Linked DNA regions of Caenorhabditis elegans. The protein of the gene in region 1 interacts with the protein of each later gene in a pairwise test. Each region holds a gene or a part of one and is shown on either strand. Other genes may lie near its edges.

Region 1 (5,283 bases):
GGTCATAATTCACAAGTGCCTATTCTTTTACAAAAAACCAAATATAAAATATTTCTTACAGCAGCATAGCTATTTGTAAATTGTTGCAACTTCTAACTTCTTTCAAAAAAAAAAACGTTCAAGTTCAATCAAAAACCCTATTTTTCATTGCCAGAAAACATTTCAAGAACTATTTCTAATATCTAGTTTTTCCTCCAGTTTTTTTTTCAGTTTGAAACCAACTTTCAATTTTAAATTGGTCGATGGAAGTCTGAAGATGGTAACTACTCACCCAAAAAACCTAAATCGTCACACCATTACAATCGTTTAGCAGACGCCTTCTTTCAGATGTTATCTCGAAAAAAAAGACTAGTACAGTACAAATGGGAAAAAGAGAATCTTCAGATTTTCAGGAGTGCGTTCTTTAACCTATTATCTAATTAAATTTCTGTGAAAGTTGATCAACATAAAAACCAAACAATCTGAGTTTGCTCAGGTTTTTTGCTTTTTCTGCTGTAATACAAATATTTATGCTGACACAACTCATGATGAATCACGAAAAAATTGTCTTTACATTGCAGATTAGGCACTTCCTTCAAAATAAACTGGCTAAAAACTACAATTCCAGTTTAAGATACGAATTTCAAAAAAAAAAGTGCAGAAAGTATTATAAACAAAATTCCATTCAGCAAAGAAAACGCTTGCATGTTGCGGCGTTGTTAAACAAAAATATTAGGATAAGTTCTTTACAAAGTATCATTTTTCAAATGCAGTCAAATTTGCCAGATCACCTAAATGTTTTCTCACTTGATTATATATTCCCTTGCCCAACACCACCGCATTGTATTGTTCTATTGAACCTTCTTAGATGATCAATTGTTCATCGGAACGTGTTGATCTTCAGTTGTACCAACTGTAATCCGTACCAACGTGCAAACGCTGATCCCATGTAAAAACAGTTACCTCGTGCTTATGACCGTTCTCTTTGTTTCTGTCACTCTTTTCTGCCGAAAACGTGGAGAGGGTGTTGCGTTCTTTTCGAAAGAGCTCGTCATGCTCCAGCACATAAACTGCTCTTGAGCTCATATTTATACAGTCGTGCTCTTTCACTCCACTCTCCTATATCTCTGCGTCTTATTATTGTCCTTCACCCTCTATCCGTCCATCATTATCGTCATCATCATCATCACCCATGTTTTCGTCTTCTATAATTGCCTGCTACCTATGTCCTCGGGGGGGGGGGGGGGGGGGTGAAGGAAAAAGGAAGCAAAGTCATTGGCATCTCAGCTGCCAAGTGGTAACAAAGTGAGGATAGGAATTCAATCCAGCATATTGAAAATGTCTAGTTTTCACCTCTTTTTGCATCTTTTTTTTCTTACCGTTCGCCCTCTTCCAATGCCATCGCCATGTATCGTGTTTCCGTGAGTAGTCTGCGTTTCACAATTACTCATCCGTCACAAAAAAGGCATTCGCGTTTCCACCTGGAAGCTCTTAGATACTTCAAACACTTTGCTTCCGAAAACCATTGACTTTCACTTCACTTTCCTTTCATTGAAACTATCAAAAGTGAATTACGAATAATAAGGAGAGTACCATTTGATTGTGCTGGATATCCTCCTAAGTCTTGATCTTGCTGAAAGTGATTCACAGATAGAAAGTGGCTTGAAATTTCTATGAATACTTCTAATATATGTTTAACGCTGTGCAACTTTGAGACTTTTCTTAGGAACCGTTAATTTTTATGTTTTCTAAATTTAATTTATTTTAAAACAATGTTTCCAGCAAACTCAAAACTATCAGTACTTTCAAAACTCCTCCCTTTTAAAGCTATTTTTCCAATTCTCTGTATTTTTTTTTAAAGTCCATGTATATTTGTTAGTTGAACAACCGCTCAAACAATATTGCCCCACACCTTTGAGTTTGCCCGCCAACACACACTTTCTCACTCGCCTAATCAGTTATTGACAGTGTACATTTAAAGACTTTTTGATCACGTTTCTCACTCTTTCCCAACTATTTTCTCTTGACTTCCCGTGTTCTGTTGCTCCATTCGTCTATTTCACTCGAATCGTCGATCTATTAAAACATGAGCTGTTTACCATGGTGAGTAGATTTTGCCTGTTAATGTTTCTGTTAATCAAAAATATTAATTGTGTTTTTACTTTCAATAAGTATCCGAATAATATTGAATTTTTAATCAAACACATACGTTTTTTTTCACAAGAAATCTATCATAAAAAAATGTTTCGAGTAAACCTACCTAAAAGCAAGGGTGAAGATTTTCGAAATTCCCCATATACATAGTTGACTGTCAGAATTTTCGGCAGTTTTCAACCTCAGTCATATTTCAAACAGTTTAACATTTAACCTTGACATAATTGTTCATTTTTAAAGTTCCGTCAAATACCTATCAATTCAAGACACATCAAGCTTGAAAAGCGAATATTTTACTACAAAATACGTTTATACGTTTTGAAATCTCCAGAAATGTTCAGACATTGCTGTTTTAAAATCTTTTCGCCAATTGACAAAACTTCGATTGCCGCATTTGTAATTGTCAGAAATATCTCACCTCGAAAATTACCTATGTCTATTAAAAAAAACAACCAAGTAAGATGCTACTCAAGGCAAGTTACGAATGTTTTAAAAGCCCTCAGAATTTGCAATTTTTTGCTTGCAAGCTTAAGTTTACAGCAGTACTAGTTTGTAATTTTTCTTCCTATAGACTCTTCCTATGATGTTTTTAACTTTTTTTTTCGACTTGTTCATCAACCTGACTACATTTTAATTGATGCAATTCCATATCAATCATGAAAAAACAAGTATTAACGGATCATCTTGTTGCTTAGGATAATATCAACAGGCAAGAAAGCAAACTAACATAATAAACCATCGAATCTGTGCACCAGCTGGCAGTTCACCTCTCATCACGGTGTAGCTATTTCGCCTACGTCTCGTACTCTCTAACCATTTCCACCACCCATTTCTCCACCATCACCATTCAACATTTTCAAACCATGCCCCGCTACTTGGCGCCTATTGATTTATGATACTCGTTTATGTTCCATTTTGAAATTTCTCATTTTCATTTGAAAACATGTTAGATATGTGACTCACTAGCAATGCCTGTTTGAGCCGCACGTGTTTTGCAAATTAGGCAAACGAACCACTAAGAATACATAAGAAGCGAATATCCTTTACATGTCCACTTGGCATCCCTTCGCTCAATCAACTTCTATTCATTTCTTGTTTCTAAGTCCTTCCGAACGGAGTAGTACTCACAATTAAGGTAATCACAACCCTGTTATCCACTATTGTCGTATGTGTTTCTATTTTGAGATTTTTCCCACAGAAATGAATAGCTTTACAAAGTTGCTAATTAGAAGTAAGTAATTTGAGTCGTGTTTTATGCGATTAACATCATATTTCGAGAAGTACGCGAAAATTTATATATTTGTTTAGTTTGAAACTACACGTAATTTTTGTTTTTGAAAGTTGTGTTTCGTTCTTGTTTAAAAAAAGTGTTATATCTATAAAAATTAGATTTTAGTTTTTAATTTTTAAATTGAAAATTTTTAAGACTCCCTATTCCTTGTAAAAATGTTAAGGAAAAAAGCGTTTTTTTTCACAAATTCATATTTATACATTTTTTTGAGAATTAGTCGTTGTCAGAATTTTAAATTATAGTTTTTTTCTTTTTTTTTTTAAATATCTGTTGTAGATTTTTTGCATTTTATTTCCCTAAGAACTTAATCCTCCTTACACCGTACATAGCCAAAAACCAGCAAGTCCTAATTAATCATTCTCAAAGCTGAGAAATTAAAATTTTAAAAACTATATTTCGCCAGTAATTTTTATGAAAAAAGCCATGAATGCATGTTTGAAACGCTTTGAGTTTAAAACGGGAACATTTTTTGATAAAACATTGCTTCAAAATCCGTAGATCTTCAAAAACCACTTTTTTTGTTGGAAATTTTTACTTTTAGGAATTCTCGTTAACCCTGAACAGTGTTTTCTTTTATTGTTCACAGTCATCATGTAGACTGTTCGAATTTAAAGTTAGCTCAATGTTTTAAATGACACTAATAATAACTTGTTTTGTTTACAAAAAAATGTTATATTTACAAGAAAAAAAACAAACAACATTGACTACGTTCCAACTGCCCAACTCCTGATAATGATGTCACTGTCACCAGAATTCCCATAATAATTCATATCAGTACTCTCTTCCTGGCGGGGCACTTTTATCTTCCCTGGAACCTTGAAAACCGGTTAATTTCATTTAAATCATTCATTTCGGTTGGATTAGATGAAGCTTCCTCTTTTTCTTCTGCTTAAGGAGTGAAACAGAATCCCATACGACTTTTTCATCGTTTCTTCATCACATCCACCTTCTGTTTCACTGTTAGTCTCACCTCACCTTCTCCACTTCTCACACCTTTTTACGATGTTCTATTAGAACATTGTGTATGCGATTGAGTGAGTGTGTATCTGTATATGTATGACCTATGCAAATTCTTTATCCGTTCGCAAAATCTGCGTTTATTAATACAGCGTGCACTTTTTCAAGAAAGTAACCGAAGAAATTGACGAAAAAGGAGAGATCGGGCTGCCTATTTCGAGGACAACACATTCCTTCCATATTCTTCCGTAAAATGTTCAGACACTGGTCCCCTTCTAACTAAAACTAGGTCTTCATATCTATCAAATAAGTTGCGTTAGAATGGAATCTGATTCTGGTCGCTTTAACTTGTACATATTTTCCGATAGTGTTGGTCTTTCAAGTGTATGCCATTAGTAACTTGTTAGGCAATCTTCTAGGACATTGGTCAAAAAGTCCGTTGTTCAATTACGTTAAGCAACGGATGAATACATGTTTTTGTTTTTATTCGGTTTTCACTCACTCTTTTCACCAATCAGCTGTCAAGGTTTCATATTCCTGTATGGAATTTTGAATTCAAATTTTGATTCCCTGTTTTTCAAAATCAAAACAAATACTTTTTTTCAAATTTCGCCATAGGGTGCTATACTTAATTTTGTGTTCTAGAATTGTATTCTTGTAAAAATAACAAATATTTCCCGTATGTCAAAACTGTCTCACTACATTATATTTTTGTGTCAGTTTTGGGAATTATTTTAGGTCAAAAATTCAAAAAAAAAGAAAACGACAAATGTAGTGCACATTCAGATGTTTTCTACATATAAATAAACAATTTAAAAACAATTTCTGTTTTTCCCGAAGTTCAATTTTCCCTACCTACAGTTTTAGTTATATTTCAGTCTTTGGTTGTATTGTTTTTTTTC
Region 2 (6,879 bases), on another chromosome or scaffold:
GGAATTGGCTCGGTATCAAGTAATTCGCAGTGAAATGGCTTTGGTAAGGTTTTCTTTAATTTCTGTGAATCATTTTGAAGAAAATTTGAAATTAGATTGTCCATTAGCACCCTTAAATACATAGTTGAATTATGAATTGAACATGGTGCATCGACATTTTTTGAAAAAACAAAATTTTCCTTTTTCAATTCACGGACCCGATGCACCATGTTTTACGCGCAAATTATGTTGCGATGGAAACAGTACTTTATTCCACAACCTCAAATTTAAAAAATTGCAATAGTTAAGCCCGTTTTCGGAAAAAAATAGTTTTCAATTTCTCTGAAACGTCAAATTATAAAATTTCTCGACTACTTAGCAAAAACTATTCTGTACGCTGGACAAAATGCAAAATTCAAATGACAAAGCACTAGGATTTTGAGTTTCCAAAAGGCTGTAACTGAACATATTACTCAAAAATTGCAGTTTTACGGGGAATTTTCGAGATTGTAGATCAGTTAACAACTTAAAAAAGATAGTGTAGGCCACAAAAGATTATCCCATTCCACCCTTTAAACCCTTTTACTTTTCCAGAAAAACGTATACAACGAGGAATTTGTGACCCCTGCAAAACTCCGTTATCTCCGTGATGATCTGGAAGCCGCCGAGGAGCATCTGAAAAAGTTGCTTGAAACCTCCCATTGACGCGTTTGATCGAAACGGATTCTGTACATACCTTCCAAATTGTTATTTTTTGTGCTGTGAAGAAATGAAAATAAAATATATTGCTTTTTTCGCAAATCGAATCGGTTTTATTTGAGAAATTTATTTTTAATGGAATGGTGGTTTGGCACTGGAATGTAGAGAGACAATTGACTAGAGTTTAGTTAAGAATTTAAGTAAAACAAATAATTTAAAATCGAGTAATAATGAAATTATCGTCGTCTTCGGATTCTGAATCTGATGGGATCATTGCGGCTGCTGAAGGTGGTGGAAGCATGATGAAAGCGTCATTAATCTGAAAATAGTGGGAATTTGAATAATTTTTTGAAAATTAACAAGTGCCAGGAAATAGGACAACTACTGAAGGCTCCCCAGTTAATGATATTTGGTACAAAATCTATTTAGAAATATCTGCTAGGGTATGCAACCTGCCTCGTAGGAAATCTTAACCTATTAGCACTATTTTTGCTCATTACTTGGTTTGATCGATCGTTTGCTTAAAAATGTCTGCACGTACCTATGACAGAAAATTGTATTGAGAGCCCACTTATACATTTTGCTCAGTCTCAGAGAGAAACTTGGGTACGTGCGGACCCATGACCCACCATTCCAAAGAAAAATTTTGTCTAAAGAATTTCTCGAATTTCTTGCTTCTCTAAATCTATTTCTACTGGAAATTCGCAAGTAGTCAGCTGCTTCTTTTTGTTTTCGATCACCTTGTGATCCTATGAATGGCAGTTCCAATCAACAAAAGTACTTTCTCGGAAAAATTGGAAACTAGGGGTAATTAGCAAACTATTTCAAATTCCAATAAGCTTATCTTGGCGATTGATCTTTTATCACTACTAGTTACCTTGTCTTTTGTCGCTTCCACCCGATCTTCTTGTTCATCATTTATTTTTGTATCTCCCACCACTTGAAACTCCTCCCCAATCACGTTTTCGCCCTTTATCTCCTCTTCGACATTTTCTTCTTCTTCTTCTTTTAACGGTTCCGTTGAGACCTGCGAAGAAAAACAAATGAAGAAGAACATTGGTGATTGTTGACTTTTTGATGTTTGTATCGGTTTCATTTAAATAGATTTATATTTGTTCTAGAGGGGAGAGAATAAATTATAGAATCAGGTCAAAGGGTAGCGGAACTGATTTGCTTTCGAAAATGTGAGAATAACTGTGAAAATCGTGAGTACGACTAGATCCAAGTAATTGGAGCAAATATCGTTTAGGTTCAGGAGCACCCGTTCTTGAAACTTTTGCCCCCCCCCCCTCTCATTCAGATTCACAAATATCTATTTTATGGTGACTCATCAAATGGTCAGAAATATGATTCAAAAGTTGAAAGTAATACTTTAATTCCGTAATTCCTCTCTTAATGTTGCACCTACATAACTGATCTTGTGGATCACACAAGAAAGCTTACCGTCTTTCTGCTCCTCGGCTTTGGCACGGGCGGTACAAACTCTTCTTCAACTTCCCGATCCCTTTTCAGAACTTCCACATCATCATCCTCCCCAACCGTCGACAGAATACTTGACACAGTATCTGCATTTGATCTTGACGAGGTAGTGGAAACATCCGTGTTCCCAGATGAAGACGTCATTCTTCCGATGGACATTGGCATTGTTGCTGACTTGATCCTCTTATCATATAAGAACCTGGCAATTGCAGGAGGTACTCCACTTTCGTCACTTGAGCGGAGGTCTAGCGCATTTTGCTTTGTCAAGGCTCTTCCATTGATTAATACTGTACCAGGAGCTTCGGGAGCATCAAAGCTTGGAGCTTCATATGAGGGAGGTGGTCGGTTGGGAGGCATACTCACAGGCCGAGCGGAGAACGCAGGAATAAATCCTGGAGCTTGGAATGTTGGAGAGGAGAGGTCTGGAGGGAGGCTTGGAGCTTTTGGAGCCGGTCCTTTTTTCTTCCGAAGTCTAATTGTCTCTGGAGCTACCCCCAACTCATACTTCTCCACCAAATGCTTCATAAAAGCCCGATCTTTTTCTAGTGCAAGCGTCGGATAACCCGATTCGTCAGTACTGATTGTGGATAATTGATCCCTATCGAGATCATCCAGGTCATCCAACCAATCGTCAAGCTCATCCAAGATCTTTCTCCCTTGAACGGATGTGCTCCGAATAGTTGACATATAATTCGAGTCATCCGGCGGACTCGCCGGACTCAATATCGGTGTCTCCTCCTGATTCTTCGGGATTGCCAAAGGCCGATGCAACGGAGAAAGTGTATTGAGAGGTGGTGTACTTTTAACAATTGGAATGCAATCATCGAGACCGAAACTAAAAGCACCACCAAGATCACCCGGTCTTTCGATCACCAGAGAGTTAGGCTTCGGTGCAACGATTCGGTCGGCGGTTTGGATTTTTGGAGGTGGAGCTATGTGTGTTGAGATATTCGAAGTGTGGGAGATTGACCTGAAAATTGAAAAATTTTTAAACTTCAGGGTCCAATCAAGAAATACCGAAAAACTACAGGTTGCTCTGAGATTTCTGATGTTTCCTCCTCGTCGTCTTGGGCGTTGAAGATCAAATTCGGCTTGCTGTTCCTGAAAGTTTAATTCTCAACCAACTTTTGATTCAGTTGTCAAATTTGAAAGCGCCAGTAAGAAACTTAATTCTAAAGGAAGTACTTCTTGGAATTGAGGTAAAAAACTAATTCAAAAACTGTGTTGTTAGAAAATGTCATACAAATACTCACTGTGGAGGAGGAGTAGGGGGAGCTGGAGCCTTATAATTTTTCTTGCTCGGACGTGGTGGAGCAATATTTATGTATTGGTGGGATGTTGGTTGATTCTCGTAACCTCTGACAACTTCAACCTCTTCTTCACTTTTTGAAGCTGATGGGAAAGCATCATCTAGTCCAACTCTCTGAAAAGTTGAACTTTTTTGGAGAAAAGTAATTAAATAGTTCCCTACATCTTTTTCTTTTCTCTGCGATCGGAGTGTACTATTCGACGAGGAGGGTCTTATGTAGTAGCTGCTGAATTCTTTATTCATCCACATTGAATTCAAGTAATGCTTGTAGATCACAAACCTTTCATTAACCGTATCAATCACATTATCGCTCGTCCGAAGATTTTCAATTTCCGATGATCCCATTGGACCGACATGAGCCAAATGCCTGTAATATAAAAATTGACTATGATAGATTGTTTAAAACCTAAAACACAATGAGTAAAACTAATACGAATGTAACTAATTCGTCTCCGAATCTACTAATTGTAAGAAACTAATTCGTATGAAAATTGTAAGTTTTAGACGTATGGAGGCACGGGAGAGTACAGAGAAGCTGAGTGTCTTAACTCTCCTCCTCTCATATCTTTTTAAACAATTAAAATGGCGAATTGCGAAAAAATTGAGAATTTAAAAAATTTCAGGTAACGTGATTTGTATTATTTTATTTTATTTTTTACGACAATAGCCCATAGTGTAAGATTTAACGCTTGGTACCTATAATATATAACAATGTTTTATCAATTGTTGCTAGTCCACGTGTGATTAGGTACTACATAACAATTTTAAACTTAATATTCATAGTTGACATGTATGCTAGTTTTGCATTATTGTTTCTATCACTGATTATTTTCATGACTGAATTGTTGGCGGTTCCAGCTGTGTCAGCTAAATTACCTAGCAAAATGGTAAGTTTTGTTTCCAAGGTTTCTGATTTCTAAAACTTGGAATTTCAGTCTATGGATGTCAATATGATAATAAAAGAATGTTGTAATGAGATAAGTGTAGAGTGTTGTAAGCCTAATATTTTTGAATAAACTGTTCATGTTTCTAAATGTTCCTCATTTCTAAATGTTATATCAATTAAAAAAAGCACAATCAGCACAATCAATCAGCTATTGGCTAAATCTTGATGAAAGTTATTACACTGTAAAAATGGGTTGGTTAGAGAGTGTGGGGGAGGGGAGAGTGCAAGAACTCCGCTTCTTTCTCGGGCCTAAAACGTCGACATGTCATAATCCCGCTTGAAGCTAACCTACTAATGTTCTTCAAGAACGAATTTGCAGATACATTCCAATTCGAATGTACGGATTAACATAACATCCTCAACTTTTATTCCTTACCTGAAATCCGACGGCAGTGAGATCATAGTTTTATCCAAGTGTTTGTGCTGATTCTTCGGAGGCAGCAACGGCAAGTCGTTGGGCATTTTCCATAAACCCGGTTCCTGTCTTAAATCAAGAATAAAGTAACAAGAGGCAAAAAAAATCAATGGTCAAACCACGCAAGTTGTTGCAAAAACTGTGGAGAACAGACACCCGGAGTAACTGAGAGAGAAAGGGGAATAGAGAAATAACCGATAAAAACGTGTAAGCAGTTGGAAAAAGAGTAGTGATAAGGAATTATTGAGAAGGAGGTGATGTGTTGAAAGAATGATTCATTTGGAATTGGAAGCCAAGAAGTTTGAAGCTCCAATGACACCCGTGCTCAAGCTCCGCCCAAAGACGCTTGTAAGGAATCTTGAGTTTTGTAGCATGGCGGAATATTGAAGCGTCGTTCGATGGCTCCAAAATTTTGACCACTTTCAGGTACTGCATAAAATCAATTGAAAAATGTTAAAATTCAGATTAACATAGAAAAATCTAGCATAGAAACTACCTTTCAAATATTTCAAAAAGTGTTATCAATTTCTAGCAAATAGCAAATTGTTCTTGCTGATCTCCCATAGATTACTCAGATCAAATTGACAAGAGACGCAGCATGTTGAAGTGAAAAAAGAAAACATGTGTCGATCTGATGAGTAATCTCTTGAGGCTAAAAACCGGGTTACGGAAGGGTATTATGTATATGTATACTCTAGTGTTTGACTGCAAGTCGGACGATATTTCGCAATTTGTTTAACATTGATTTACGAAACCTTTGATGTTTTTAATGTATTACCGAAGATTTACTAGGATTATTTTTGTTTCGTAAAGAATTTAAAATGTGTTGTCATATTTGAAATAATGTTTTAAGCAACTTTGTTCATCATCAAAATTTAAAAAATTCCAAATATTAGTAGTAGTTTATTTGTTTTAATGTATAATATAAAAATCTTTAAAAAATATTCTTCTATTACATATCATCCAAAATTCCGATAGTCCGTCTCAAAATCTCCTGAGCTTTGTGTTCCCTTTCGTCAGCTCCACTTTTCAAATCCAAACTCTCATCCTTATACATTTTGTAGTAATACGACAGACTGAATAGTGACGTGGCATTCACAAAATTGAAGTGAGTTCGATAGGATTCTTCGAGTTGGGAGAAAGTGAAGGGAGCCGTGGAAAAATGAGATTTGAAGGTCGTATAGTAGTGGTTCAGGTATCTGGAAAATGGAAACTGACTCTTTGTTTTGAAATGTGTTTTATATCTCCGAACCCGATTTTCAAATCTCGGCCAAAAAGCGGGCCATTTCAATTTTTACTTCTTTCGGTTATTGAAAATGTTTAGACTTAGAAAAAGATACCTTTGAGTATTTGCTCTTCGATTTTCCACTGACAATCCAAGGCACAAAATACGAATAATATCAAAGGAGACGGGACCCTTTGACACGTGCTGGAAATCGATAAATGCCTGGATCTGAAATTATTCAATTTTATTATTAGGAGTAATTTTATATTCTATGACACGTAGTCCTCTTGGACAACTCTACCTTTCCAGTTTCATTATTCCATAGAACATTTGACGCGTTCAAATCATTATGACATATCACCAATGGCATTCCAAGTTTTTCGTTTTTCTTTTCGGAATTTCTAACTCCATCTTCATCAAAAGCATGCTTAACTTCTTGAATTCTTCCGGAGAGCTCCGCCGGGCATAACTTTTCAAAATCAAGGGTGTCGTTGTGCTGGAATTTTGATTCTGAAGCGTGAGAAAGAGCCGCTCTGGTTTTCAGGTAAGCAAAACACCATACACCATATTTACGGGTTGTTGTGAAAAGTCAATTTCCAATAAGTTCCAAAAATATTCGGCCACCAATTTTCGCGGCCATCAAAGAGATGTGCCCAATTTTAAATTCGAAATTTGAAAAGATGTGCCCAGATTGCAATCGATTGCAATATACTCTTTTTTTTTTATTTCTTACTATACCTAGGGCTTCACTGGCAGACAGGCACATTTTCAGGCCTATTTGAATATCTCGTGCCTGCCTCCCTACCGCTCAAAACTCACCAACATCC

Evidence for each region.
Region 2: the proteins of sdpn-1 (region 1) and F09F7.5 interact in a two-hybrid assay, tested with the Caenorhabditis elegans proteins (3 studies listed by BioGRID).

Annotation. Positions count from the first base shown.
Region 1 is NC_003284.9:7,994,878-8,000,160, reverse strand, and holds the start of sdpn-1 (SH3 domain-containing protein), read left to right. Parts: upstream 1-2,065; coding exon 2,066-2,082; intron 2,083-5,283.
Region 2 is NC_003281.10:5,545,127-5,552,005, reverse strand, and holds F09F7.5 (CRIB domain-containing protein), read right to left. Parts: upstream 4,897-6,879; 5' UTR 4,875-4,896; coding exon 4,789-4,874; intron 3,834-4,788; coding exon 3,747-3,833; intron 3,693-3,746; coding exon 3,629-3,692; intron 3,581-3,628; coding exon 3,411-3,580; intron 3,259-3,410; coding exon 3,175-3,258; intron 3,128-3,174; coding exon 2,122-3,127; intron 1,706-2,121; coding exon 1,556-1,705; intron 998-1,555; coding exon 893-997; 3' UTR 791-892; downstream 1-790. Other genes in the region: F09F7.6 (Ferritin), read left to right, coding at 1-43, 574-684; putative kinase-like protein D1044.1, read right to left, coding at 5,780-6,026, 6,168-6,280, 6,354-6,548, 6,872-6,879.